Linked DNA regions of Oryctolagus cuniculus. The protein of the gene in region 7 interacts with the protein of the main gene of each other region in a biochemical or structural test. Links are inferred from orthologs where the notes say so. Each region holds a gene or a part of one and is shown on either strand. Other genes may lie near its edges. The genes, in order: CYLD, UBC, SENP2, BCL10, NFKBIA, RAB11A and IKBKG.

Region 1 (4,315 bases), on a different chromosome or scaffold from region 7:
AATGAGAGAAGTGGTCCTGGGGACGGAACAGAGAATGGGGAGCAGTGTGGCCAGGTGCAGGAAGTGAGAGGGCTTGTCTTGTGTGAAAGGATTCAGAATACCTCTCCCTCACTCCACTTCCTCTTTTCTTCCCTCCTCCTTGGTATATGGGCAAGCAAAAACCATCTTGAGGCTAATAGTTTCTCCCAGCCAGCCAGCCTGCCTACGACCTTTGAGCCCTATCAGCTTTATTGAAGAATCGAACTCTACAGGGGAACAGCGCTGCCGGAGGCCACTGGAGCCAGACTCCCAACTTGTTGCTTCTGCTGCAGTTTAAGGGTAGACCAAGGAGGAGCGGGAGGGGATCAAGGCTTAGGTTTTCAAAAGAGGTCCATTTCACTCCGGGCGATTACGGCAAGGGAGTTAGTAATCACTTCTATGACTAGTTTTATGCACTCATTGGTTTCAGTTCCCTAGATCTTCAGAAACGTATCGCTTTCCACTGGGGAAATTTGTGTCATTAAATACGCACATGCACACGCGCGCGCACACACACGCACACACGCGCGCACACACACCCCTCCTCCTTTCTCAGTATTAATCACCTTCTTCCATAATTAGTACCTAAAATGTCAAAGGAGAAGGAAGTAATTAACAGGAGTATCCAGTGCAGCAAGTCCCGCTGCGAGGCTCTGGGACTGATTATAAAAAGCATTTCCTTATATATTTTGAGCACTTTTGGGAATCGGATCTGTAACTACACCCAAGTGCTGGCTGGCGTCCAGGGGCGCGGGGCTGGGTGAGGCAGCGTGCGGAGAGGGAGATTCTGGACCCGCGCAGGTGACGACAGACTGTAGCAGGACTCGCAGGCCGCCTCTGGCGGGGAGGAAGACACTCCGGCGTTTAAGCCAGGTGTCGCTGTCACCTCCATTTTACAGATGAGAAAACTGAGACCCAGCTTGAATGCGAGGTCCCCCACAACTGGTGACTAATTGAGAGAGCAGCAGCTTCGAACTTAGGTCTGATTCTAAAGCTTTGCTCTTTTCTGGAACCCTGGAACCCTATTACCAGCTCTCATCCGGGCTCCTCCCCTAGCCTCCTTTTGACAGCTGAGGCAGAGAGCCGAGACCCGAGCATGAGCTTGAGAGGCGGAGCTGGGACTAGCAAAGCGCCCCGCCCCGGCTCCGACATTACCCAATGGTAATGAGGCGTCCGTAGTCTCTCGTCCAATCAGTCAGAGCTCCCCGCCCCCATCCCGTTCTTCTCCGCCCTTCCCCTCTGCTTTCCCTTTGGCTCCACCGAGCTTGACAGAGCGGAAAGTCCCTTCATCCAGCGACGGGCGGGCAGCCATTGGAGGAAGGTCTGCCACAGGAAGGCCCAATCAGGGCGCGCGTAGGAAGGGAGCTCTGGCAGCGATTGGTTAGCTCAGCGGTCGCCCTCTCCGCCCCCGCTCCCTCCTTCCCTCTTGGGCGGTTCGGAGGCGGGGCAGGTGGGGGCGGGCCCAGGTAGCAGGTTCGGCTGCGCGGGGGCCGCGCGTCGGAGGTAAATACTAGGGTGGTGGGTGTGGGGCGACGGGGCCGACCCGGGACGTGGGCTAGGGAGCCTGGGCAAGGGGTTACGTCCCGCCGCTCTAGGTGGGTGAGTGAGTGAGCGGGCGGCCGAGTGGCCGGCGGCCCAGTCCTCTGAGGCGCCCCTCCCCGGCCTCAGGGCGCCTGGAGCCGCCGCGGCGACGGTCGGGCCTCGGCGCCGGCCCGTTAGTTGCCCCGGCCCGCCGAGCTTCCCCGGCCCGCGAGGTGCTGAGCCCACTGACGTCAGCCCGGGCTTCCCCACCCTGGGTCTCCACTTGTCGCCGAGCCTTCCCGGGAGTGCTCGATCCTGAGTGGTGGTGGCAGCTTGGCCGCCGCCTCTGGGACTCCCGGAGAAGAGGGGTCTTGGGGTGAAGACAGTGCGGGACTCAGTCTCCGTTTCTGCCCTGCCTCCCCGTTAACAGACGGGGAAACTGAGGCACGGGCCTCCGGCTGGCCCTGGCCGGCCCCAGCTGACCCCGAGAGCCCCGGGTTGCGGCGTCGCCCGTCCGTGTAGAGGGGCGTTTGGATCGGTCGGTTTCGAGGTGTTTGCGGCGCCCGTCCAGGAAGAGCAGCCGGGGTTCTGACCTCGTTAATGGCGTGTTCTGCTTCTTCTTTCCGTTTCCCGTTTCCAGGTTGAGGATGGTTTTGCACAACAACCTGGAGTTCTGTAGTTGAAAGGTGCGCCCTGTTGCGACAGGTACTTTTTTTTTTTTTTTTTTTTTTTTTAAATCCTATTAAGCGTGTGTGGGGGAAATCATGAAGTCTTGAAGGAGGATGGGGTTTCTGAGTTCGGTGCTCATCTGGGTCAGCTGCTGGGCTATTCGTGTACTTGGCATCCTGTGCCACCCCTTGGCATTTGCGTGTTTTGGGCTGGTTGTCGTCTTCCAGCCAGCAAGCTTGTGGCTGCCCAACCCCCTCGTCCTTGCCACCTTGCTCTCCCCAGTTTCCCCTGGAAAGTTGTATCCTTAGCTAATGAGCAGTCCTATCCTGCTTTTGATTTGGGGCCAATTAAGATTGTTCATTTTGCAAACCCTGGTTCCCAGAGCAAAGCTCAGGCCGGGAGAGGGTGTCCATTCAAGTGGTAGCTTTCTGCACGCCCCCTCATTCCCCAAGTAGATTGAATGGCCCTAACAATTTAGCCTGCCATTCCCCACTGGGGAGTGGGTGGCTTTGAACTAGAACAGTGTTAGCAGGAAATAATTTGTTGGAAATTCCTCTTGAAGTTCAAGTACTGCAAATGCTGATAGCACCCAGACCGCTCTTTAATGGTCTGCCGGAGAATTGGTGGGTCTTCTTGTGCCAAAGGAAGGCGGCCTTCCTTTGGGTGGTACCTCTCTGGGAAGCTGGTAAGACCAGGGCACTTACTATGTAAAACAACGGACACTGGGCAACGATGATGTCTGCGGTTTGGCCGGGTACCTGTGGTTTTGTTTGATTTAAGGAAGTCTTTAACACAAGAAGAGAGAAGAGTAATTGTCTCACTCGTTAAACTGTTAGAACTGTGTTCCTGGATTTCAGAGCGTCATCTTCAATTTCTTACCTTGGTTATATAGAATTCCTAAGCATCACATACGGCGTGAGGCTCCACGGAGGCTACTTCCAGTGAGCCTCACAGCGTTCCCGGATTTGATTGTTCTTAGGTGTGTAACAGTGCAGTGCCGCGGGACTTCCCCATGACTTCCTCTCTCCAGAGTGAAGCTGTAGGCAGACCTCACTGAATCCTCCCAGCCCTTTCTCCTTGCCTCCCTCCCTTCGTTTGTTTAACCTGCAAGAAGATTTTAATTCCTTAAAAACAGGATGAGGAATGAGAGTTGCAGCTGTGGCTCTTATCACTTGACTTAGCCAAAAGTGTTTCGTTCGTTTCTCGCGTGTGGGGTCTGCGCAGGGGACATGGGACATAGGACATGTCAGTGAGTGTAGGATACTGTTCCTTGTTCTTCTGACACGAACGTGTTGGGGAAGGAGCCAGACTTTGCCTATCACCTGATAAATCCCACTTGTTTTAGGGACTGTGTCCTTGTGTCACAAGTTAGTAAAATGAGGAACATGGAAATTAAGTCTCTCTTCTGGTCCTGGAATCCCCATGTTCCTGTGCTTGAACCATTTAAGAATTTAACAGCCAGTTCCTTTAGTGAGAGGTGTTCTTTCTGACGAGGGCAACCATTCCAGCTGCCTAGAAGCAGTTGAAGAAAGGCCCACGGGTCTCCCTTGTTTGTTGTTTGAGCTGGCCTTCCTACTTCTTTGCCATTTATAAATAGGGGCAGTAATTTAGCATTGCAGCTTTAATTCGAATTTAGATAGCCTCCTATGATTTTTGAAACAGGGAGGCTATCTCGGCAGATACAAAAGAAGATGTAGTTCTTGAATTACATCTGTCTTTGTGAGCTGTTGGGAACAGTAGAACCTGGTGACTCCAGCGTGAAATGACACTTGTATCTTCTGGATAGGTTAACCATTGTGAGTTCTCTGTAGCTAGTGATATGCCTTTGTACTAGGTATTGTTTTTTAGAACACAGTGTTCTGGCCTTTGATATGTTTATGTAAAACTTTTTTTTGATCATCTGCTTTTCATGGGAGATGGATAAAATAATTGTGTTTTCCAGTGTTCGTGTTGGTTTGATAATTTTATCTTAATACGTTCAATTCCCCTTTGCTAGAATCCAGACCGTCAGGAAGCTCAGGTAACCAGATATGTTTTCAAATCCAAGTGACCCCGTTTCATGTTCAGTGTTGTCGAAAGCTAAGCCTTTTGTTCAGCATGGTTTTAG
Region 2 (4,085 bases), on a different chromosome or scaffold from region 7:
AGATGCGAACTTCAGAAAAACAAAACAAGAACGAAAACACCTGGCCATCACAGGAATCCGTGCTGGCCATCACCAGGGTCTCCCGCTAGCTTGGGTTCCTGCTCTGCATTTTAACCCCCCGGGCCCGGGCATTCCTTGTTTGGGGGTTTAAGGGGTGGAAAAGTCCTCTAACAATGCTCAGGTAGATCTTCCCAGATCCACACAGCCGCAGGTTACCACAGCAACCACACAGCGGTTGTTCTGCCGGGGCTTCTCGGTGACATGACACTTGTAAAACGGTCTTCCCCTCTAAGGAGGGGCTGTGGTCCCGCCTCCGCCCCATCGTGGCAATGGAACATTCTAGAAGAGTCGCACAGCACAGCGTGGGGAGGGGGGGACTCGGGGCACGAGGGGGCAAATCCACCGCTAACGTTTAAGAGCCTCCAGCTCACCTGCTGGTCGACGCCACGATTCTCCCAAACACCAGGACACGACCCCGTGGCTGACCGTGCCCCTCCCCCTTGTGATCACAACGCGAGGTGCGCGTTTCATGCATCGGATCCCGGAAACACAGAGCGCAGCTTCGGTTCGCGTCCGTAAAAAGGCCCAGGTTAAAGCCCGGGCCGCACCAGGCGCCTCCGGCGGCGGCTTCCGGGGAGAGCCTGGGCGGCCGCGACCAGCCGCAACCAGCCAGCGCTGTCGGGGTCCGCCGTGGCTCCCCGCGGGTCTGCGCGCCGGCGGCCCGGGGCCGGGGCCGGGGCCGCGGAGGCGAGGGCAGGATGTGTCCAATCACCGGCCCGGCCCCCCACGAGACCACGGCGGTCACCTCAAACGCGACCCCACAGAAAGCCCCCTCGAGGTCACGGGCCGGGGGGACAGAGCGGGCCGCGCGCGGGGAGGCCCGGATGTGCCCAGTCACGGCCCGGCCCCCACGAGACCACGGCGGTCACCTCAGACGCGACCCCACAGAAAGCCCCCTAGAGGTCACGGGCCGTGGACACAGTGGGCCGCGGAGGCGAGGCCCGGATGTGCCCAGTCACGGCCCGGCCCCGACGAGACCACCGCGGTCACCTCAGACGCGACCCCACAGAAAGCCCCTCGAGGTCGCGGGCCGGGGACAGAGCGGGCCGCGCGCGGGGAGGGGGCGCCGGGCCGGAACCCCCGCGGGCCGCCCACCGACGGGCCGCTGCGGCCGAGGGGACGGGGCGCGGGGCGGAGCCGAAGCCCCCGGCCGCCCGCCCGCTCCGGGCGCCGCCCGGCTCCGCGCCGGGTCTTCCCGCCGCCCGCGCGCCGGCTCCCCTCCCCCAGGGCGGGCGCCCGCACGTCGGCCGCAGCACGCAGCAAACGCCCTGATCCCTCCGCCGGGCCCCTCAGGGCGGCGGCCCCTCCCCTCCCGGGCCCGGCGGTACCGCCCCGGGCTCGACCCGAGAACGTTTTGTGAGGGGGCCGACGGCCCCGGGCGCAGGGTTCCTTCCCGGAGGGCGGAAGAGGCTGAGGAAAGTAGTTCCTTCTCGGCGTTTCTGCGGAGGGATCTCGCCGGGGCGGCGGCTCGCCGTCGGACTATATAAGCGGGCGCCGGGCGCGGCGCAGCCAGTTCCGTCGGAGCCGGAGTTCGGTCGCCTTCATCCTGCGTACAGCTGCCGCCGCCGCCGCCGCCGCCGCCGCCGCCTGGTGAGTGGACCTCGTCGTGCTGGCCGGGGTGGGGGCGGCCCGCGGCCTCTCGGCCGTGAGGGAGGAGGGCGGTGCGGCTGCCCGCCGCGGGCGGGACGCCCTCCCGGGCGGGTAGTCGGCTGGGGTCGCCCCGCAGGCGGAAGAACCGACAAGATGGCGGCGCCGCCGAGCCGGGAGGTCAGGGTGCAGGGCGGACAGGGGCCGGAGAGCGCCGAGCGCCGCGAGGGTCTGAGGAGCGGAAGGCGGCGTCGCCGGGCCGCGTTTGGAGACGTGGGGGAGCGGTGTGGCGGGGCTGACGGGCAGCGCTGGGCCCCGGTTAGGGGCTGGGGAGTAGGGAGGCGCCTCGGCGCGGGGCTGCTCCAGCGGGTGGGGGGCGGCTCGCGCCGTGACGTCACCCGCGTGTTGGCACACAGAGCAGGGCGGGGCTGCCTCCCGGTGTGGGTGGCGTCGGTTTCTGTCAGTTGCAAGACACACGGTTAGGGCCTAGGCGAGATCCTGCTGAGTGGACGGGAACGCGAGCCGGAAGGGGGGAGGGACGGAAAAGCCCTGAGTTCACTGGTCACGTTTCCCTGCTTTCTTCATAACGAAGGGTCTGAGGCTGGGGTTTTGAAGTAATTTTTCAGGTTTGTGTTTGGTGTCCTTTGGAGTTCCTAAGCAAGTTATTAATTTTAATAGTGTAGATAAATAGACGATATTCAGTCTTTAGGAATATTAGTGAATTGTTTGCTGAATTTTTTTTTGTTTCTTTTTGTGTGTTTTCTCATAACAGACAATGCAGATCTTCGTGAAAACCTTAACTGGCAAGACCATCACCCTCGAGGTGGAGCCCAGTGACACCATCGAGAATGTCAAGGCAAAGATCCAGGACAAGGAGGGCATCCCCCCTGACCAGCAGAGGCTGATCTTTGCCGGCAAGCAGCTGGAAGACGGCCGCACCCTGTCCGACTACAACATCCAGAAGGAGTCCACCCTGCACCTGGTGCTGCGCCTCAGAGGTGGCATGCAGATCTTCGTGAAGACCCTGACCGGCAAGACCATCACCCTCGAGGTGGAGCCCAGTGACACCATCGAGAACGTCAAGGCGAAGATCCAGGACAAGGAGGGCATCCCCCCCGACCAGCAGAGGCTGATCTTTGCCGGCAAGCAGCTGGAAGACGGCCGCACCCTGTCCGACTACAACATCCAGAAGGAGTCCACCCTGCACCTGGTGCTGCGCCTCAGAGGTGGCATGCAGATCTTCGTGAAGACCCTGACCGGCAAGACCATCACCCTCGAGGTGGAGCCCAGTGACACCATCGAGAACGTCAAGGCGAAGATCCAGGACAAGGAGGGCATCCCCCCCGACCAGCAGAGGCTGATCTTTGCCGGCAAGCAGCTGGAAGACGGCCGCACCCTGTCCGACTACAACATCCAGAAGGAGTCCACCCTGCACCTGGTGCTGCGCCTCAGAGGTGGCATGCAGATCTTCGTGAAGACCCTGACCGGCAAGACCATCACCCTCGAGGTGGAGCCCAGTGACACCATCGAGAACGTCAAGGCGAAGATCCAGGACAAGGAGGGCATCCCCCCCGACCAGCAGAGGCTGATCTTTGCCGGCAAGCAGCTGGAAGACGGCCGCACCCTGTCCGACTACAACATCCAGAAGGAGTCCACCCTGCACCTGGTGCTGCGCCTCAGAGGTGGCATGCAGATCTTCGTGAAGACCCTGACCGGCAAGACCATCACCCTCGAGGTGGAGCCCAGTGACACCATCGAGAACGTCAAGGCGAAGATCCAGGACAAGGAGGGCATCCCCCCCGACCAGCAGAGGCTGATCTTTGCCGGCAAGCAGCTGGAAGATGGCCGCACCCTGTCCGACTACAACATCCAGAAGGAGTCCACCCTGCACCTGGTGCTGCGCCTCAGAGGTGGCATGCAGATCTTCGTGAAGACCCTGACCGGCAAGACCATCACCCTCGAGGTGGAGCCCAGTGACACCATCGAGAACGTCAAGGCGAAGATCCAGGACAAGGAGGGCATCCCCCCCGACCAGCAGAGGCTGATCTTTGCCGGCAAGCAGCTGGAAGACGGCCGCACCCTGTCCGACTACAACATCCAGAAGGAGTCCACCCTGCACCTGGTGCTGCGCCTCAGAGGTGGCATGCAGATCTTCGTGAAGACCCTGACCGGCAAGACCATCACCCTCGAGGTGGAGCCCAGTGACACCATCGAGAACGTCAAGGCGAAGATCCAGGACAAGGAGGGCATCCCCCCCGACCAGCAGAGGCTGATCTTTGCCGGCAAGCAGCTGGAAGATGGCCGCACCCTGTCCGACTACAACATCCAGAAGGAGTCCACCCTGCACCTGGTGCTGCGCCTCAGAGGTGGCATGCAGATCTTCGTGAAGACCCTGACCGGCAAGACCATCACCCTCGAGGTGGAGCCCAGTGACACCA
Region 3 (3,742 bases), on a different chromosome or scaffold from region 7:
TCATTTTACATTTTGGATATATCGTGTTAAAAAAATGTAGAAGATGGTGTTGTGTTAAACATCAGTTTGGTCTAGTTTGTATTCTTCCCTAGACATCTTCATAAGAGTTAGTTTTAAGGCAGAGTTATACTCTTGAATCATAAAATTTTTTAAAAAGATTTATTTATGTGAAAGGCAGAGTTACAGAGAGGCAGAGAGAGAGAGAGAAAGAGAGAAAGATGTCTTCCAAACGTTGGTTTATTCCCCAGATGGCCAAAACAGCCGGAGCTGTGCCAATCCAAAGCCCGGAACCAGGAGCTTCCTCCAGTCTCCCACACAGTGCATGGCCTCACGGACTTGGCCCATCCTCTACTGCTTTCCTAGGCCATAGCAGAGAGCTGGATTAGAAGTGGAACAGCCAGCACTAGAATAGGTGCTCTAGGCCGTGGCCTTAGCTGCTACGCCACAGTGCAGGCCCTGACTCATAAGTTTTGGAATTTCCCATTCTCTTATGTTCTCCATTTCCAGTGATTCAGAGTAGAGCCTTTTGTATTGTATTGTATTGTATTGTATTGTATTGTATTGTATTGTTTGTTTGTTTGTTTGTTTTTAAAGATTTACTTATTTGTTTGAAAGAGTTACAAAGAGAGAGGAGAGGCAGAGAGAGGTCTTCCATCTGCTGGTTCACTCCCCAGATGACTGCAAAGGCCAGAGCTGCTCCAATCCAAAGCCAGGAGCCAGGAGCCAGAAGCCAGGAGCTCCGGGTCTCCACCTTGGTGCAGGGGCCCAAGCACCTGGGCTATCTTCTACTGCTTTCCCAGGCCATAGCAGAGAGCTGGATCAGAAGAGGAGCAGCCGGGACTAGAACAGAGCCCATATGGGATGCCTGCACTTTAGGCTAGGGTGTTAATCGGCTACGCCTCAGTGCCGGCCCCTTTTGCATTGTTTTTTAAAGATTTATTTATTTAGGGCCTGGCACTCTGGCCTAGCGGCTAAAGCCACTGCCTGCAGCGCTGGCATCCTATATGGGTGCCGGTTCATGTCCTAGCTGCTCTACTTCCATTGTGGCCAATTGTAGAATGAACCAGCAGATGGAAAACCTCTATCTCTGCTTCTCCTACTCTCTCTGTGTAACTCTTTCAAATAAATAAATAAATTTAAAAAAGAGAGATTTATTTATTTATCTTAAAGGCAGAGTTAAAAAGCGAGAGAGAGAGAGAGAGAGGGGTCTTCCATCTGTTGGTTCACTCCCCATGTGGCCACAATGGCTGAGGCTGGGCCTGTCAAAAGCCAGGAGACAGGAGCTTCATCAGTGTCTCCCACATGGATGCAGAGGCCCAGATATTTGGATCATCTTCCACTGCTTTCCCAGGCACACTAGCAGGGATGTTGATTGGAAGTGGAACTGCTGGAGCTTAAACCACAGACAGCGGCTTTACCCGCTGTGCCACAGTGCTGGCCCCAAGCCTTTTGTGTTTAATTGTTATTTATTACCTGTGGAGTAAAAGCTGAAAGAAGAGGGAAACTAAGCCTGAGAGAGGACAGACTGGGGGTGTTTGGAAACTGGGTAAGGGCAACATCCTACTTTCATCCTTGTTGAATATGAAGACTTTGCTGTTTCAGGCCACGGGGAAGGACTAGAAGCTACTGGTTTTCTGGGACCAGTATACCTGGCAGTTAGCTAGAATGAAGAGTGTTGGCTAGGAGTCTTTTTTTTTTTTTTTTTTTTTTTTTTTTAAGATTTATATATTTATTTGACAGAGCTACAGAGAGAGAGAGGGAGAAACAAAGAGAAAGATATCTTCTATCCTCACTCCTATCCTTCACTCCTCAGATGGATGTAATGGTCAGGACTGAGTCAGGCTGAAGCCAGGACCCAGGAGCTTCATGTGGGTGACAGGGGCCCAAGTTTTTTGGCCATCATGTACTGCCTTTCCTAGGCCATAAGCAGGGAGCTAGATCAGAAGTGAAGCAGCCAGGACTTGAATTGGTGCCCATATGGCACGCTGGCATTGTGGGCAGTGGCTTTACCTGCTACCTCACAAGAGTGGCCCCTGGCTAGGTGTCTTGACACTAGTGTGGTATCTGTTCCAAAGTTCTGTATCTAAATAACCTAATTTTAAGGCTTATCGGAGCTTCTGGGGTGCTGACAATTTTATTTGTTGACTTGAAATGGCAGTTACAGGGTGTTCATTTTACAAGTTAATTAAGTGGTACATTAATGTTTTGCATTTTTCTTTTTCCTTACGTTTACCCATTGTAAAGGATATTGCAAAGGAGTCAGATGAGCATCCAGATGGAAGAGATACATAGGATGAGGAGTACAGAGCTTCTGAGCCCTCTGGGCAAATCCACCTCCAGGCACTTCCAGGTGCTCAGCCATCCAGAGGCTCCCTGAACTGTCCTCTGTGCTTTGCAGAGGCCCTCATTACACAGACTTGAATGAAATCATTGGCCATTCTGATAGGCTTTGCCTTCCTGTTTTTGAATTCTTCTATAATTTTTAATAACTTTTTAGGTATAATAGAAAAGCTTCTTAGTAAAAGATTAGCAATGGCTTATTCTCTGTCATGGGATTATGTGTCATAGTTTTTGCTTTTTTACACTTTTCAACATACCTGTTAACTGTATTATTTTTAATTGTGATAGGAGAACTGAAAATACTTTTGTTACTCAGAGAAAGTAGTCTGTGTTCTGTTTCATGGTTTGTAGTTGCCATGGCCTGTGAGCCTTAAGTTTAGAGCTTTTTTTTTGTTCTCCGCTGCAAGAACAGACAGATGTGCTAAATATACTTTATTCATCTGAGGGATTTGCTAATTCTCTTTTCGTTCAAGATAATAGCACTGTTTTCTATTTTATGTGTAATGTATGCTTATATGTACAAGTATTAAACATGTCAATACAATATAGACATTTTGTTGATCAGAGGAGGGGACACCAGCTGGAGCCTGACCTGTCAGAAGAAGTGTCTGCCCGACTCCGCCTGGGTAATGGAAGCAACGGCTTACTCAGGAGGAGAATGTCGATACTTGAGACCAAGGAAAAGAATTGCTCAAGCAAAGAGAGGGATAGGAGAACGGATGATCTCCTTGAACTTACAGAGGTACTGTTCTGTATTGATCAGAATGAGACCTGTTTTAACATAACCTCAGTTACTCTAAACTTGAACGAATGTTTGAAGAATTTCTCCAGGCTAGCATGTTTGAAAAAAAAAAAATCAAGCTCAAGATCTGCTTAGTCACTTTGGTTACATTATCATTAGTGATCTGTGAAGGACTCCTACCATCAAACTCAATGGATTCTTTTTTATTTTTATTCATTTATTTGAAAGAATTACACAGAGAGAGTAAGAGAGAGAGAGCTAGATCTTTGATCTGGTCAGGAATGGGCCAGGTGGAAGCCAGGAGCCCCCTCCGGATCTCCCATGTGGATGCAGAGGGCTAAGCACCTGGGCCATCCTCAGCTGCCTTCCCAGACTCCCTAACAGGGAGCTGGATTGGAACTACAGCAGTCTTGAACCTGAACCCTCATGGGATGTCAGCATTATTGGTAATAGCTTCACGTGCCACACCACAATGCCAGCTCCTATTTATTTTAAAGATTTATTTATTTATTTGAAAGAAGAGTTAGAGGAGAGAGAGAAAGAGAGAGAGAGCTAGAAAGAGATCTTCCATCCACTGGTTCACTCCTCAAAAGGCTGCAGTGACCCAGTGCTGGGCCAGGCCAAAGCCAGGAGCCAAAAGCTTCATCCAGGTCTCCCACA
Region 4 (4,357 bases), on a different chromosome or scaffold from region 7:
GACTTGGGCCATCCTCTGCTGCGTTTCCCAGTCCACCAGCAGGGAGGAGGATCTGAAGTGGAGCAGCGAGGATACAGACTGGCGCCCATATGGGATACTGGTGTCACAGGCAATATCTTCACCTGCTATAACAATGACAACTCCCAACCACCTTTTAAAAAAATTATTTTCATTTATTTGAAAGGCAGATAGAGACAGAGACAGAGAAATATCTTCTATCTGTTGGTTCACTCCCCAAAGGCCTTCAACATCCAAGGCTGGGCTACTCAGGGCAAGGAACTCAGTCCAGGTCTCCCATGTCAGTGACAGGGACCCAAGTAAGTACTTGAGCCATCACCTGCAAGAACATTAACAAAAAGCTGGACCAGGAAGCAGAGCTGGAGATAGGAACCCAGGCCCTCTGATATGGGATGTGGGTGTGGGTGTGCCACAAAGATTCTTAACCGCTGCACCAGACTCCCACCCGCAGCCCTACCTCTTACAGGTCCCACCATCTCTTGATGTCACTACACAGGGGCTACTCAAGCTTCCCACACATGAACCTTTGGGGCAGCAATCACATCCAAACCATAGCAACATTCAATAAGTGTTTGTTAAATGAAAGAATGTACTGTTAAGTCAATCGAGTTATACCAAGATGATGGAAGATAAAGCAATCAGCAAAACTACTCGCATTATGCATCACCGTGGAAAAAAACATTCTCATGATATGACAAAAGGTTAATGTGAAAACCAGAGTCCTTGTGTTATTATCAAAACTGTAATGGCCTGGCTTTTGCAACATTGTTCTTTCCTGTCCCTTCCCTTAAATATTGGCTTTCCCAAATTTGTCCTTGGTTCTCTTGTTATTTTTCACTGGTCATCAGCCTCCTCCCATAAAATAGAGAACTCTTACACTGCCTAAAAATATCAATGAGGACTCAACAAATGTTTGAATAATAAAAGAAAATAAATAATAAAAGAAAATAAATGATACATTGTACGCTGTGTGCCAAGTACCTCTAAAAACTTTTCATCTACTCCCAGCAGCCCTGTGAGTGAAGCACAGGTCCCTTACCAGATCAATAAACGCGAATAACTTGCATACAATGAACATTAAATCAGGTATTAAAGCGGTAGGGTTGCGGGTGGTTTCCTTTTCTCTTTCCAAAATTTCTTTAATGTAGGTGTGTGTTCGTGGCAAAGAATATGAAAACCTTGAATGGGCAAACACAGCAACCGGAAACTGTAGAGCACTGTCTGGGAAAAGGGGAGGAACCAACGGCCGACACTCACCGAGGCGAGCAGCCCGTGCAGGCCGCGGGCCCGCCCACGGAAACGATTCCTTTTGGAGAAGTCCACCCGCGGCAGCTCTCAGACGACCTCCGGAGGCGTGGCTTGAGGTGATGTCAACCACGGTGGCCCCACCCAGGAAAGGCTCCAGCCGGGGGCGGGGCAGGAGTGGCCTGGGGCTGGCACCCATTGGCCGCCGCACAACGGGGCGGGCCCTATCGACGGACCGCCTTCCCGAGGGCTGGCGGGCCGAACTCCAAGCTCCGCGTCGCCGCGCCTGGTTTCTGCAGCGCCGTCGGTCCCGGAGACGGAGCCGGAAGCGCTAGGCTTTGAACCCCGATCCCTTCTGCTTTTCAAGGGGTACCCGAATCGCCCACCATAATCTGCCCCTCGTCCTTTCTCCCCCAATATCCCGAGACTGGTCCCCAGTTTGGGCGGGGCGGTGCCGTCAGAGCTCTCAGACCCGGAAGCAGCGCGGGGTCGCGCCTCCGCCATGGAGCCCACCGCGCCGTCCCTCACTGAGGAGGACTTGACTGAAGTGAAGAAGGACGTGAGTAGCCGGGGCGCCGCGGAGGGCTCTGGGCCGGCGGGGTCGGGGCGGGCCGCGGCCCCGCCGGAGAGGAAAGCGGAAACCCAGTGTCGGGGGACTAGGAGGAACCTCCAGGGCGGAGGAACGGAAGGTCCAGGCAGGGGAGGGCGGCTGTGCGCTCTGCAGCCGCGGTGCCTCGGGGGAAGTGACCCCCGCCTCCGGGGACCTGTTGATCCGTGTTTTTAAAATCGCCACGCGCAGAGCTTGAGATCTTGAGATCTTGTCCCGCGGGGCGTTTCTCGGCAGCCCGCTTCTTGCTTGCTGCTCACCCATCCCCGCATGATCCCCTCGGCCTCGCGGGCTCGTGGAGCTGCGTTCTTAAGAGATCGGCGGCTCGGGCTCAGCCCGGATCAGGCTCAGCCCGGGCCGCCGTCTCACCTAAAGCACAAGCTGGACCAGTCGGAGGATCCAGCGGGTGAAACTTTTGCAGCGGGGTCTGGGGGAAGCTCAACAGCTGAAAGCACAGCTTGGAATTCCCCTAGTAAGCAAACGCCCACATATTTAAATACGGGGAGAGGCGTGAACCCACGTTGCTCCGTTCCTTTACAAATCAGCGTTGAAAATATCCAGGAGCTTCTGCCTGGAGGATGCAGAGCCGCACAGACCTTAATATTTATTTGTAAAAAGTGGCCTTGTTGAGGTATTACTTGTTTGGTTTTTCTTTGCCAGGTGAGGCCTGGGTGAGTACTACTGCGAAGGTATTTTATGTTAATTCGAATTAAAAACAAATTCACACCACAGGACTTCTGCAGAATCACTTGTGGACAGGACACAATTCTGAAATGTTCCTCCACCTCCAGTCCGCTGCCCTCCCCGGAGGGTGTATTACTGTGAGCTGGCAGTTGGCAGTTGGCACGACTCCCTGGCAGAAGGGAACGGTAGGGTGGGACCAGTGCCTTAGTTTCCTCACGCAGCAGAGGCCCCCAAGAGCACTTGGCGTGTGTAGAGTGCTGTCCTTGCATGCCCCTGCTGTAGGCTCCTAGTTGAGGTAGGACTACCACAGGTTGAGTACTCCTTATCTGAAATCATTAGGACCAGAATTGTTGCAGATTTCAGGATTTGCGTATCCGTAATGAGAAATCTTGGGGATAGGGACTCAAGTTGAAACTTGAAAATCATTTATGCGGGCTGGCATTGTAGTGTTGTGGGTTAAGCCGCAACCTGCAGTACCAGCATCCCATATTGGAGCACCAAGTCGAGTCCTTGCTGCTCTTTGTCCAATCCAGATCTCTGCTAAGGACCTGGGAAGGCCGTGGAAGGTGGCCCAACTGCATGGGCCCCTGACACCCATACAGGAGACCTGTATGGAGCTGCTGGCTGCTGGCTTATGCCTAGTCCAGTCCCAGGTGTTGTGGCCATTTGGGGAGTGAATCAAGCAATGGAAAATCTTTCTCCCCCTCTCTGGTATCCATCTTATCCACATAATCCGAAGGTAATTTTGTACCTTATGTTTTATATGCCTTTGTTTTGGCTGCCCCATTATTACATGAGGTCAGGTGTGGAATTTTCCACTTGTGTCACAGCAATGCAGATATTGGAGGAGTTCAGATTTCAGAGAGTCAGATTAGGAATGTTCAGCCTATAGAAAGTAAACAAGCATTGTCTCATTCACAACGATTGCCACTAAAGCCATGCATTTCAAGAGATAGGCCTATTATGTTCCACAATTTATGATGTTACACAACTTACAGTGTTCCTACTTAAGCTTTATGACTTCCTGTAAAGGAGATAATGGCCATTCTCCCTTTACAAATGATAAAACCAGTGTGATTACAAATGAGAGGAAATAAGACCTGTACACACATACAGATGGGAGAGTGGCTTCTGGGCCTTTATTTTTCTCTGATGGTTCACTGATGTTATCCATTTCTGTGATTTCAATTTATCCCTGTATCAGAAATATGTATCCTTGGAGTAGGGGTTGTGGCACAGCAGAGTAAGCTATCACCTCGGATACCTGCAGCCCATATCACGGTGCCTGGGATGGAGTCCCGACTTCCTGCTAATGTACTTGGGAGGAAGCAGATAATGAATCAAGTACTTGGATCCCTGCCACACAATTGGGAGACCCTGGTGGAGTTCCTGGCTCTGGCTTTTGCCTGAGCTATTGTTGGTATTTAAGAGTGAGCCAGTGGATGGAAGATTGGTATCTCTCTCTATCTCTCTCTCTCTGCCTCCGCCTTTTAAAAAAAATCAAAATTAATAAACATTTCTTTAAAAAGAAGTAAATATATAACCTGGAGGAAAACTTAAATGGGTTTCAGGAGGTTTGTGAAAAAAAAAACATGTGTTTGGTTTGGTTTGTAGATTTTTTTCCCATGACATTTTCAACATGGTCTGCTGTATGCAGTACCCCCTCTTTAGTTGCTTGGTAGTCATCCCAGTAACCAGCAACTGTGGCAGTGTCACAGTTCTTGTTTCAGGCGTCCACTGGGGGTCTTAGAACATAACTGCCTCAAATAAGGTGGGACAGGTGTACCAACACCCATCCTCCTG
Region 5 (4,268 bases), on a different chromosome or scaffold from region 7:
CGACCTTGCCTTGATAAACCCGTGTGTGCGGTTCCTAAGCCTGCAGACACTGCAGTCTCTACTGGGAAGTTCTCACTCTAACATGTGACCATTACTACTGAGGGGTTTATTTCTTGATTTTACTTTTTTGCCCTCATATTTTGTCCTAGTGACCCTATCCCCTATGTTCCATATGGGGGGAACAGGTGGAGATCCGAGGAGAGGCAAGGGTTGCTTTGTACCTGATCAGTAAGGCGAAGGTGATTGCCACAACCTCCAGAAACCTCTGCAGAGGCCCCTGGAGCTCATGCTCAAAGCCGATCAAAGCCGATTTGATTACCTGCACCAATTCCAGAAGTAGTTGAATTCAGCCCAGTCTGCCGCTTCGGGGGCCGGAGCATAACCTCTCTAAAGCCAGGGGATTCTCTCAAGAGTGGCACTGCAGGAATGGCTCCAGCTACTGCCCTCTCCCAGAGCACACGGGGGAGCCGCCTGGAACCTCCCGCGGGGGGCCTGGCAGTTACTCTTGGCCATCTTTCAGGCCCAATCCTGGGTAAGACACTAACTGCCACCCATTGGTCAGGCTCCTCCCAATGCTGAAAAATTGCTCAGCTGGGCACTCAGAAATAGGCTCAGGATCCATTTCCTGCAGCACAGACCATGAACTTCGTTACTGCAAGGTTACCTGCAACCCCTCCCACCAAGACGAACTCCTTGCTTAACAAAAAGCAAACCCTTGAGGCCCCACTGAGCGCTGACCCCTCGCAGGGCGAGATCTGTCCCTCCCCCAGCCGACAGGCCTGTTAGTCCCCAGGACGGGACTTGGTTTAAAACCCAGCTTCTCCCCGAGGGGGTCGGGACGCCAGGAGCGCTTGCACCCTACAGGGCCGGGAATCTGCGGGAACCCAGGGGCCGCCCGCGAACTGCACCCAACTCTGGGGAAGACAAACCCCCACGGCCAGCCACCGTTTCCACTCTTGCGCTTCCGCAAGATCCGAGAAAACGGAAAGGACCGGCTGGGCGGCAAACCCCAAAGAGGAACGGCCCGGCAGGTCTGTGTCCTCGGGATCCCTGCAGCAGACGACCCCGAGTGCAATCGGCCGTGGGAAACCCCAGGGAGAGAGGAGGGCCCTGCAGGGTCGGCCTGGCCGCGCGCGGTCCGCAGGGAAGCACCGGGGCGGCGGCGGCCGCCGGGCCCGGAGGACTTTCCAGCCACTCAGCGCGCAGCGAGAAGTTCCCTGGACATGACCCCGGTGGGTCATCCCAGGGAGTTTCTCCGATGAACCCCGGCTCGGAGTTTAGGCTGCCTTTTTTTTTCCCCTAGCAGAGGACCAAGCCAGTTCTCTTTTCTGGTCTGACTGGCTTGGAAATTCCCCGCGCCTGACCCCGCCCCCAGAGAAATTCCCCGCCAGCGTTTATAGGGCGGCGCGGCGGCGCTGCCGAGCCCACAACAGTCGCAGCGCGCCGCCCGCCAGGAGCCGGCGACAGGACGAGGACGCCAGCGCGCAGCCCGCGGCCGAGCACCTGGGGAGCAGCGCCATGTTTCAGCCGGCCGAGCACGCTCAGGACTGGGCCATGGAGGGGCCCCGGGACGCGCTGAAGAAGGAGCGCCTGCTGGACGACCGCCACGACAGCGGCCTGGACTCCATGAAGGACGAGGAGTACGAGCAGATGGTGAAGGAGCTGCGCGAGATCCGCCTGGAGCCGCAGGAGGCGCCGCGCGCCGCCGAGCCCTGGAGGCAGCAGCTCACGGAGGACGGAGACTCGTAAGTGTCGGGGGGCTGAGGGCCGCGGGCCGGGCGGGGGGCGGCCGGGCCTGCAGCGCGGGCCCCGGGGCTGCAGCACAGCCGGGCTGGAGGGGGGGGATGGCCGTGCAGCGCCGCCGAGTCTGCCGCAAAGCTGCGGGGCGGCCGCGCGCGGGCCGGGGCTCCTCTGGGGGCTCCTCGGGCCGGCGGGGAAGGGCGTGGACGGCCCCGTCCCCGCACACCCCGAACCCCGCAGCCCGGCGCTCGCGGCGGGGGGCGGCGCGGCGGCAGGGACGCCGAGTCCCGGGTTGCATAAGGCGGGCGGGCGGGCGGGCGCCGCGCGGCCGGCGGGGGAAGTACAGGGCGTTCCGGGCCGCCGGGAGGGCGGGGCGGCCTGGCCGGCGCCGCCGCGGGGGGGGCGGGGCCCGGAAAGTCCCTGGGCGCCTGCCAGGAACACTCAGCTCATAATAACCCCGCGGAAAACACCGCGGCCCCGGCTCCAGAAACCCCGGCCTTGCGCAATCCCCCGCAGGCCGCGCCTCCCCGGGGCCCCACGCAGTGCGCTCACCGCCCCTTGCGGGGGGTTTTCCCCTCTCTGGCCTGCAGGTTCCTCCACTTGGCCATCATCCATGAAGAGAAGGCATTGACCATGGAAGTGATTCGCCAGGTGAAGGGAGACCTGGCCTTCCTCAACTTCCAGAACAACCTGCAGCAGGTGCGCCTGTCGTCCCCAGCCCTGTGCCCTCTGTGACCTCGGGATGCAGTCGATGTGGCACAGTCCTCCCCACCCCTAGCTCTCTGAAAGAACAGCCACAGGTCCTTACCTGCCCTGGCCTTTCACATTCCAATAAGCCGGTCTCCTGCAGAGTTAAAAGCCCACGGATTGGGTGAGGTCTTTGCGACCCACCCGGGGCCCTGGTCTTTGGCCCCCTGTCCCTGTCTGGGAGGAGCAGCACCCACCCCCGGGAGATGTCTGCGGCTCAGGGGCACTCGGAGGACGACTTTGCGCCGAGGCTTATCTGTGCTCGCTCTCCCACTCGTAGACGCCGCTCCACTTGGCTGTCATCACTAGCCAGCCAGAAATTGCTGAGGCACTGCTGGAAGCTGGCTGTGATCCTGAGCTGCGGGACTTTCGAGGAAACACTCCGCTGCACCTTGCCTGCGAGCAGGGCTGCCTGGCCAGCGTGGGCGTCCTCAAGCAGACCTGCACGGCCCAGCACCTGCACTCCATTCTGCAGGCCATCAACTACAACGGTACGCTGTGCTGTCCCAGGCGGGCGGCGCGGGGGAGGCGGGCTGGCCTAAGGCGTGCAGGGCAGAGCTTAAACTCCCAGCTTGTGAAAGCAGGAGGAAATGAGTATCAAGCGCCTGTCTCAGGCTGCTGGAATGTTCATTCAGAACCCAGATTCGGGCTCCTTAGAATTCAGGGGCCACATGTGCTTGTCCCATGAGTGACTAGGGGGACGGTGAAACAGGTGGTGATGCTCTCTTCCTTCTGTCCGTCTAGGCCACACGTGTCTGCACCTGGCTTCCATCCACGGCTACCTGGGCATTGTGGAGCTGTTGGTGTCCTGGGGTGCTGATGTCAACGCCCAGGTGAGTGCCTCACGAGCCAGGTGGAGTGCTGCTCTTTGCCAGCAACATGTCAGCCACACTGGCTGCACGCAGGAATGCCAGACGCCTCCTAAGCATCTCACACTCCTCTTGGCTCTAGGAACCCTGCAATGGGCGCACGGCCCTCCACCTCGCCGTGGACCTGCAGAATCCGGACCTGGTGTCGCTCTTGTTGAAGTGCGGGGCCGATGTCAACCGGGTCACCTACCAGGGCTACTCCCCGTACCAACTCACATGGGGCCGCCCCAGCACCCGGATCCAGCAGCAGCTGGGCCAGCTGACCTTGGAGAACCTCCAGAGGTTGCCCGAGAGTGAGGACGAGGAGAGCTGTGACACGGAGTCGGACGGCACGGAGGACGAGGTGAGCCCCATCCCCTACCCTGCCAGGCCCCTTCCCTTGAGCAGCCCTGGGATATTGGATAGAGCTCTCCGACTGTATAGAACCCCCCCCCCCCAATAAAAATAAAAGTAGCTTACCCTTCTTTAAGCAGCAAATCCTTCAAGGGAAATGCACTCAGCCTGTCAAGTTCATTGCACGGCGGGTGGGGGGATCGGAGCTGCAGTCGCAGCCAGGGCCCTGGCCTGCGGCCTGCAGCCCCGGGCTGGGCCTTGGAGGTTTACTCTCCTCTTCTTCTTCCAGCTGCCCTATGATGACTGCGTGTTCGGAGGCCAGCGCCTGACCTTGTGAGCACCAGGCGCCTGGAAAGCACGTGGACTTGTATATTTGTACAAAAAGAGAGTTTTATTTTTCTAAAAAAAAAAAAAGGAAAAAGGAAAAAAAATGCCAGGGGTGTCTTCCCGGCCCGAAGCGCTCAACTGTGGTGGATTGGCCCGCGTTCGGCTGTTTTTGTGAACTGTGCCTCGGGGAGAAGAAAGATTAGAATCCAGAGGAAAAACACCGCTTACACTTCGTTCTGGTGGGGGCTTTGG
Region 6 (3,742 bases), on a different chromosome or scaffold from region 7:
CTGATGCATTGTGGAAGGCAGCAGACGATGGCTCAGGTGTTAGCCTCTGCCACTCATACAGGAGTTTTGGATGCAGTTCTGGTATCCTGGCTGTTGCAGGCGTTTGGGGAGTTGACTAGCAGATGGAAGATTGATCTTTTTCTTGCTGTCTCTGCCTTTCAAGTGGATGAAAATAAATAAGCAAAACAAAATGAGAGTGGGTGTTTGGTGCAGTGACTGGGACCCCTGCATTCCATATTGGGGTACCTGGGTTTGCGTCCCGACCCTGCTTTGGATTCCGTGAAGCATCAGGTGGTGATTCATGTCTTTGAGTCCCTGCCACTCATGTGGGAGACCTGAATTAAATTCCCAGCTGCCAGGTATTTGGGGAGTGAACCAGCAGTTGAGCAATGTCTACCCCTTTCTCTCTGTCTCTCTGCCTCTCAATTACTGTGAGTAAATAAAAAATTAAAAATGTGTGTGTTTCTGTTTCCAGATACTATCGTGGAGCTGTAGGTGCCTTATTGGTTTATGACATTGCTAAACATCTCACATATGAAAATGTAGAGCGGTGGCTGAAAGAACTGAGAGATCATGCGGATAGTAACATTGTTATCATGCTCGTGGGTAACAAGAGTGATTTACGTCATCTCAGGGCAGTTCCTACCGATGAAGCAAGAGCTTTTGCAGGTTAGTGATTTGAATCCCATGCTATTACAGTGATTCTGTAGTTTTTACTATTATGTCTTGCAGTTTCTTCACTCTTTCACTGAGGGTAGTTGTAATAGTTTCAGAAAAGTAAACATGATTACTCAACAAAGATGATTGTTTTGAAAGTTTGTGATTACTGTATGGCTCTTTAGCTGAACTTCAAGTTACTGAAACACCAAGACTTTGAGTTTTTGTGGGGAAAAAAAAAAAAAAACACAGAAAATAAATGTTGTCCTCTTTTCTGTCCCTTGAAGTGGTAGGTGAAATCTGTTAATGAAGCATGTTCTACCTCCTTTTCCATCAAGCCTGTATTTTACCAATGCAGCTCTAGATGGGTCTAGCCATTGTTAGGGACCAACAGGGAGACAGCTGCTTAGGAGCTGTCTTTGGTCCCATAGAGGATCTGCCTTTCTCTTGGTCCTGCCCCAGTTTTGTTAAGGGCAGCTTATCAGAAAGCAACATCATGCATTCTTAGCTAGTGAAAGTCATGACCTTGCACTAGTGATTATGCTGTGAATAGTTTTCCATAACAGTTTTTAGTTTCCCAGACAAGAAGAAACTTTATTTCAATAATAACAGAATTCTAAAATTCTAAGTGAATACCATAGGGATGCAGAGGACTGTAAGGAATGAGCACAGTTGAGTGTTTGGTAAGTTTACTACATTTTGAGTGATCTCATTCATTGCTATTGGTAATGTTTAGAGTAATAAATATTTAATCAAGAAGCCAATGAAAACTTCAGTCTGGTAGAGTATAAACAGAATGGTGCCCTTTCGGTCCCAGAAGTTGGCACAGTCTTAGATTTTAAAAAGTCATGTTATTTTCTTTTTTGAGAGCTTAATTATATGACATTCTTTCTTTTACTTGTAAAACTTGACAAAACTGAGTTTTTGTGTCTCCCCACAGAAAAGAATGGTTTGTCATTTATTGAGACATCTGCTTTAGATTCTACAAATGTAGAAGCTGCTTTTCAAACAATTCTAACAGGTAAGATTTGCATTTTCAGATTATACCAGTTGGAATTGGAAGTTTCAGGAAGGTCATAAAAGCAGATTGTTCAGGAAGCTATGTATCGCACCATTGGAGAATGACTGTCATTTGAGAACTACTATAGCAAGAGCTGTTTGCAGTACAAAATTAGTTACAGATCTTGTTCATTGAGCTCCAGTCATCCCAATTCATCTTTATATGGGAAAAATGTTTTGAGGCTTATTTGTTCACTTTTGTTATCACAGTCACAGCTGAAGTTATGTTTAAATCTACCTTGATGTGGAAAGATATAAATGTGTTTTAGAAATTCAGTAAAGAATAGAAAAGGCTAGGAAAAAATAAATTTTTAAACAGTTAAGTGAAAAGAAAACTCTGCTGTGATGTGGAAGATGCAGGTTGTCACTTGCAGATAAAATCAGCCAGTGATTGAATATACAAAAGTTCAATTGAAGATTTACTTTATTTGAAAGGCAGTGAGAGAGAAAGAGAGAGAGATACAGACAAGAATTTTCTTCTGTCTGCTGTTCACACCTCAGATGACCCCAGTAGCCAGCCTGCTAAAGTCAGGAGCCTGGAAGTCCATCCAGGTCTCCCACATGGGTGGTAGGGATCCAAGTACTTGAGCCATCATCTGCTGCCTTCCCAGATGTGATAGCAGGAAGTTGGACTGGAAGTAGAGTAGCCAGAACTGAAACCAGTACTGATATGGGATGTGGGCATTGCAAAGGTGGCTTAACCCGCAGTGGCACAATGCCCACTCCATAAACTGTATAGTACGTTTAAGAACTCGTGAGTTAGAATATAGTTTTATTTATTTATTTATTTGAGAGGCAGAGTTAGAGACGGAGGGAAAGGTTCTCTGCACTGGGTCGCTCTCCAAATGGCTGGAGCTGGGCCAGGTCTTCTCCAGGTCTCCTGCACCGATGCAGGGGCTCAGGGACTTGGGCCATCTTCCACTGCCTTCCCAGGCCACAGGCAGAGAGCCGGATTGGAAGAGGAGCAGCCGGGAAATGAACTGACGCCCACATGGGATGCCAGCGCCACAGGTGGAGGCCTACCTCAGCACACCACAGTGCTGGCCTAGTGTATAGTCTTTTTCTTTTTTTTCTTCCAAAGATTTATTTCATTTATTTGAAAGACAGAATTACAGAGAGAGGTAGAGACAGAGAGAGAGGTCTTCCATCCGCTGGTTCACTCCCCAGATGGCCACAATGGCCGGAACTGCGCTGATCCAAAGCCAGGGGCCAGGAGCTTCTTCCGGGTCTCCTACATGGGTGCAGGGGCCCAAGGACTTGGGCCCTCTTCTACTGCTCCCCCAGGTCATAGCAGAGAGCTGGATCGGAAATGGAGTAGCTGGGTCTCGAACCGGTGCCCACATGGGATGCTGGTGCTTCAGGCCAGGACTTTAACCCGCTGCGACACAGCGCTGACCCCAGAATATTGTCTTAATATATAGGACAGTCTTATGTGGTGGTGGTCTTAAAAAGTTTATATGGAGAAATGTTTATTAATGAGTTTCCAGTTCCCAAGTTTTAATTTAATGTTTGTATATAGTACTTGTATTAGAGTTAAGCAGATTTCAGCTTTAAAATACTATTTTACTGTTAAAAAAAAAGTTGGGAATAAAGCCTAGGAATTAAGAACATGGACTTGGAGGCCTGACTTGGGTGCTAGTCCTGACTCCTTCACTTACTGTTAGCTCTAAATCTTAGGCAAGTTCCTTAACCTTAAAGATCTTCTTCATCTGTAAAATTTTGGGGAAGTTCTTTTATTTCTGTTTTGAGAGAGAGTTTGTGTTTATAAAACCTTGTGGTATGATTTCATTTGACTGTTGTGTTGCAACCTATCAGGTGTTTTGTTTCTGAAATTCATAGAAAAGAATGGTGTGTCACTCAGACAACTCTGGGTACCAAAAATGAGCACAAGCTATTGCCTGTAAAATACTTAGCTATCCCGCTACACAGTGAACATTTGATACATTAGTTACTAAATAGCAGTTATGGCATGAGGGACAAAAACTGGTTAAAATACACTTTGGTGACTTATGTATCTGTTATCAGA
Region 7 (4,199 bases):
GGGATGGCCACGAAAGCAGACTTCACTGTGGCCTTGCTGGCTTTGATGGGGCAAGGTAGGTGCCTGTCTAAGCTTCAGTGCCTGCCTCTGCGTATTCGACAGGGACAAGAACACCTGCCCTCTAAGCAGCAGCAGCAGACACAGTGTTTGTGCAGAAACTCAAAAAAGAGCAGTCTTTGGCCGGCGCCGCGGCTCACTAGGCTAATCCTCCGCCTAGCGGCGCCGGCACACCGGGTTCTAGTCCCGGTCGGGGCGCCGGATTCTGTCCCAGTTGCCCCTCTTCCAGGCCAGCCCTCTGCTGTGGCCAGGGAGTGCAGTGGAGGATGGCCCAGGTGCTTGGGCCCTGCACCCCATGGGGAGACCAGGAAAAGCACCTGGCTCCTGGCTCCTGCCATCGGATCAGCGCGGTGCGCCGGCCGCAGCGCACCGGCCGTGGCGGCCATTGGAGGGTGAACCAACGGCAAAAGGAAGACCTTTCTCTCTGTCTCTCTCTCTCTCACTATCCACTCTGCCTGTCAATAAATAAATAAATAAATAAATAAATAAATAAGAGCAGTCTTCTTCTCGCCAGACTAAGCCATGAGCATATATCAGTGCCAGCGGCAGGTGGCTGGCAGAGGCCAGAGGAGAGGAAAGCCACATACCCAGCGACCACCCCAGGTAGAGGAAGAAGCATCTGACAAAAGCGATCAGTGACGTGCAAGGTTCTAGGGCAACCACAGAACCGTATCCAACAGAGGTAGACAGTAGTTTCACATCACTGAATGTTCCAAACCCTTGGCCATCACTGCTGCCTGCCCACTCAACCCGAGTCTCAACTTGTGTGCAATGTCTTTTAAATTTCTTTTTAGTGACGTAAAAATTCATGTAACATCAAATTCACCATTTTAACTATTTTAAAGTATAGTCATCCAGTGGTTTTTAGCTAATGAAGCTGTAAGATCATGCAACCATCAGCACTACCTAATTCCAGAACATTCCCAGCACCCCAGAAAGAAACCCCAAACCCAGCAGCATTCTCTCCCGTAGGCCCCCTGCCCGCACTCCTGGCGTCCACTCAACTGCTTTCTGTCTCTGAGACATGTCACGTGAATACAGGCAAGCTCTTCCGGGAAGTTTCTTCATAAACGTTCTGAGCAAACACTGTACCCTCCCTTGTTTGGTTTCACAGCCTACCTATAGACACAATCATGAGCACCTTGGGGGACAATCACCTTCAGGGCCCCGGGGGTCTCACATGCTGCCCCCCAAGCTTTATCCAGCTTCCCAGTTGGAGGCAATATAGCCTCAAGTCTCCACTTGCTGCCAGAGACTTAGCAAAGCTGTTGTGCTGAACACACAGTCTAGGAGGCAGAAGAGCCGAGCCACCACAGGCCATGGCATGAGCCCTGCACAACTGCTCTGAAATGCTCTGGGCCCCTAGGGATGAGCAGAGGCCCCGATCTGGCTGCCAGCTCTATGTGCATGACTTGTTCTGAAGACCCCAGCACAGTGGGTCCCACTCAAGGACAACTGTGACTCCCAGGGGACTGGAGGGGCACTATTGGCACCTGTGAGTAGAAGCCAGGGATACTGCTCACCATGCCACAATGGCTAGGACAGCCCTCACCACAGAGAATTAGCTGGCCCCAGAGGTCAACAGAACTGAGGTAGAAGACACTGCTGCTCTGTGCTCAAGACAGGGCCTCGGGGCCAGCGCCGTGGCATAGTGGGTAAAGCCGCCGTCTGCAGTGCCACCATCCCATATGGGCGCTGGTTCTAGACCCACTGCTCCACTTCCGATCTAGCTCTCTGCTATGGCCTGGGAAAGCAGAAGATGGCCCAAGTCCTCAGGCCCCTGCACCCGCATAGGAGACCCAGAAGAAGCTCCTGGCTCCCAGCTTGGGATCAGCACAGCTCTGGCCGTTGAGGCCATCTGCAGAGTGAACAAGCGGATGGAAGGCCTCTCTTTCTCTGTATGCCTCTGCCTCTCTGTAATTCTGCCTTTCAGATAAATAAATCTAAAAAAAAAAAAAAAAGGCGGGGCCTCTCCAATGCAACCTTCAAGGAAACCAAGCAGTCTCTTGGTGGCTAGCTGTCTCCTAGGAAGAGGACACACATTCCAGACCCAGGTCTGCTCCCTGCGTGCATGGCATCTGCCAGCACCACTCCCTGAGGCCACAGAGCACGTGACTCATCAGCAAAAGACCCTACATCACATCCAACACTCACTTAAGGAGGTGGGGAATGGGACTACAACTGTGGCAAGAGCCACTGGCCAACTAGGACATGAATGGCCAACTAAAGACACAACTGAGGCATCAGCTACCCCACTGCAGCAGGGGTCATGCCTCTCATGCTGGTCAACACCACCTCCTCTCAGGGTGGGCCACACCCACTTCCCAGGACAGGCCACAGCACCCCCCTCTCAAACAAGACCGCAACCCACCCCAGGAAAGTCTGAGTCCCCTCCCAGGGAAGAGGTCCTCTGAGGCTGGGCCACGCTGGTCCAGCCTGGAAGTGTCAGTCCAGCCCCAGAGTCCCTGGGGGTCAGCCAAGGCAGCCCACTTCTGCTGCCCACCCCTGCTTTCTCCCATCTCCTTCCCTTCTCTGCCTCAGTACTGACCCTGCCATGCACCTCGGTCTGCTCCCAGGGAACCCCGCCTGGAACCAGGAGGCAAGGTAGCTACGCTGGAAGCACAAGCTGGCTCTCGGGGTGCCCTCGCCCCACACCCAGCAGACGCAGAGGTGCACGAGAGAAGCCTTGCCTTCAGCAGGACCAGATCCCCTGACTTTGTGCCCCACCTACTTGCTGTCCACCTCACCTCGGAGCTCTTGGTTCTCCTCCAGACAGCGCTGGAGAGCGTCAGGAGCACCCTGCTCTGCGGGCAGATGCAGCATGGCCGGCTTCCCCAGAGAAGACTCTTCAGGCAGCACGTCCTGGTCCCCGGCCGGGCCGCCGCTGGGCTGCACCATCTCACACAGCTGGTTCTTCCAGGGCTGCCTGCTCATCCAAGGCACGCTCTTCGAGAAAGGCAGCAAAGGCATCCCATGAGACCCAGGGGAATTCTCATCCCCAGCAGGATAAGTACACTCTGTGCAGGAGCTCTGGGGCCATGAAGGCAAAATGCTGATCCCTCTGGCCGAAATGGGGTTTCGATCTAAGAGGTCACAAACACCCTCATTCCGAAGGAAGATGCTGAACCACCTCTGTGAGACTTGCACAGGCCATGGCTTAGCACTGGTTACGGACTCTGTACCAGCACCCATCTTCAGGATGCACACCTAAGGCAGGAACTTTGCCAGAGGCAGAAAACTAAGGATTATTGTAGCAGGAGACATCGGTGTGCGCTGGGACCCCTACCCTTACACAGACCCTCAAGCCGGAGGGGATGTTCCCTCCCAAGTACTGTAGGCTGCATGGTAGCCCCAAAACCTATAAATGCAACTTTATTTGGGAAAAGTATCTTTGCAGATGTAAACTAAGGGCCTTGATCAAAATGAGAGCTTGCTGGGTTATTCAGGTGGGCCTTAAATCCATTAACAAGTGTCTTTATAAAAGACAAAAGACAGAGGAAAACATGCAAGGAAGAAAGCCAGGTGAAAACAGTCAGAAGGGGCCAGCATTGTGGTGTAACGGGTTAAGCCACCATCCCATATAGGCACTGGTTCAAGGCCTGATTACTCCACTTCCAATCCAGCTCCCTGCTAATGCACCCAGGAAAGCAGCGGAAGATGGCTCAAGTGCTTGGGTCCCTGTACCCAAGTGCGAGACCCAAATGAAGTTCCTGGCTCCTGGTTTCAGCCTGGCCTGGCCCTGGCCATTGCAGCCATCTGGGGAGTGAAACGGCAGACAGAACATCTCTCTCTCTCCATCCTACCCTCTCTATCTGCCTTTCAAATAAATAAATCTTTTTTTAAAAAAAATGAAGCAGATAGTGGCCAGGGAGTGCAGTGGAGGATGGCCCAAGTCCTTGGGCCCTGCACCCCATGGGAGACCAGGAGAAGTACCTGGCTCCTGCCATCGGATCAGCGCGGTGCACCGGCCGCAGTGCGCCGGCCGCAGCGGCCATTGGAGGGTGAACCAACGGCAAAGGAAGACCTTTCTCTCTCTCTCTCTCTCTCTCACTGTGCACTCTGCCTGTCAAAAAAAAAAAGAAGCAGATAATAAAGAGATGTGGCCACATGCCAAGGAAAAATCAGAGCCACCAGAAGCTGGA

The links.
Region 1: the proteins of IKBKG (region 7) and CYLD form a complex in vitro, tested with the Homo sapiens proteins (3 studies listed by BioGRID, with this or other methods). The link is inferred for Oryctolagus cuniculus from reciprocal best matches to the Homo sapiens genes IKBKG and CYLD.
Region 2: the proteins of IKBKG (region 7) and UBC form a complex in vitro, tested with the Homo sapiens proteins (31 studies listed by BioGRID and IntAct, with this or other methods). The link is inferred for Oryctolagus cuniculus from reciprocal best matches to the Homo sapiens genes IKBKG and UBC.
Region 3: the proteins of IKBKG (region 7) and SENP2 form a complex in vitro, tested with the Homo sapiens proteins (2 studies listed by BioGRID and IntAct, with this or other methods). The link is inferred for Oryctolagus cuniculus from reciprocal best matches to the Homo sapiens genes IKBKG and SENP2.
Region 4: the proteins of IKBKG (region 7) and BCL10 form a complex in vitro, tested with the Homo sapiens proteins (3 studies listed by BioGRID). The link is inferred for Oryctolagus cuniculus from reciprocal best matches to the Homo sapiens genes IKBKG and BCL10.
Region 5: of the proteins of IKBKG (region 7) and NFKBIA, one has a biochemical effect on the other in vitro, tested with the Homo sapiens proteins (15 studies listed by BioGRID and IntAct). The link is inferred for Oryctolagus cuniculus from reciprocal best matches to the Homo sapiens genes IKBKG and NFKBIA.
Region 6: the proteins of IKBKG (region 7) and RAB11A are reported together in a solved structure, tested with the Homo sapiens proteins (2 studies listed by BioGRID, with this or other methods). The link is inferred for Oryctolagus cuniculus from reciprocal best matches to the Homo sapiens genes IKBKG and RAB11A.

The regions. Positions count from the first base shown.
Region 1 is NC_091449.1:34,288,966-34,293,280, forward strand, and holds the start of CYLD (ubiquitin carboxyl-terminal hydrolase CYLD), read left to right. Parts: upstream 1-1,440; 5' UTR 1,441-1,521; exon of another isoform or gene 1,522-1,613; intron 1,614-2,179; exon of another isoform or gene 2,180-2,244; intron 2,245-4,315. UniProt on the Homo sapiens protein: Deubiquitinase that specifically cleaves 'Lys-63'- and linear 'Met-1'-linked polyubiquitin chains and is involved in NF-kappa-B activation and TNF-alpha-induced necroptosis.
Region 2 is NC_091452.1:5,126,932-5,131,016, forward strand, and holds the start of UBC (polyubiquitin-C), read left to right. Parts: upstream 1-1,285; 5' UTR 1,286-1,650; intron 1,651-2,104; exon of another isoform or gene 2,105-2,273; intron 2,274-2,419; 5' UTR 2,420-2,422; coding exon 2,423-4,085.
Region 3 is NC_091435.1:95,274,693-95,278,434, forward strand, and holds part of SENP2 (sentrin-specific protease 2), read left to right. Parts: intron 1-2,905; coding exon 2,906-3,082; intron 3,083-3,742. UniProt on the Homo sapiens protein: Protease that catalyzes two essential functions in the SUMO pathway.
Region 4 is NC_091438.1:85,908,399-85,912,755, forward strand, and holds the start of BCL10 (B-cell lymphoma/leukemia 10), read left to right. Parts: upstream 1-1,467; 5' UTR 1,468-1,765; coding exon 1,766-1,822; intron 1,823-4,357. UniProt on the Homo sapiens protein: Plays a key role in both adaptive and innate immune signaling by bridging CARD domain-containing proteins to immune activation.
Region 5 is NC_091443.1:40,158,399-40,162,666, forward strand, and holds the start of NFKBIA (NF-kappa-B inhibitor alpha), read left to right. Parts: upstream 1-1,311; 5' UTR 1,312-1,518; coding exon 1,519-1,745; intron 1,746-2,330; coding exon 2,331-2,439; intron 2,440-2,767; coding exon 2,768-2,978; intron 2,979-3,231; coding exon 3,232-3,320; intron 3,321-3,438; coding exon 3,439-3,699; intron 3,700-3,815; exon of another isoform or gene 3,816-3,978; coding exon 3,979-4,026; 3' UTR 4,027-4,268. UniProt on the Homo sapiens protein: Inhibits the activity of dimeric NF-kappa-B/REL complexes by trapping REL (RELA/p65 and NFKB1/p50) dimers in the cytoplasm by masking their nuclear localization signals.
Region 6 is NC_091443.1:88,897,199-88,900,940, forward strand, and holds part of RAB11A (ras-related protein Rab-11A), read left to right. Parts: intron 1-475; coding exon 476-669; intron 670-1,597; coding exon 1,598-1,678; intron 1,679-2,863; exon of another isoform or gene 2,864-3,742. UniProt on the Homo sapiens protein: The small GTPases Rab are key regulators of intracellular membrane trafficking, from the formation of transport vesicles to their fusion with membranes.
Region 7 is NC_091453.1:132,763,948-132,768,146, reverse strand, and holds the start of IKBKG (NF-kappa-B essential modulator), read right to left. Parts: upstream 2,992-4,199; coding exon 2,805-2,991; intron 1-2,804. UniProt on the Homo sapiens protein: Regulatory subunit of the IKK core complex which phosphorylates inhibitors of NF-kappa-B thus leading to the dissociation of the inhibitor/NF-kappa-B complex and ultimately the degradation of the inhibitor.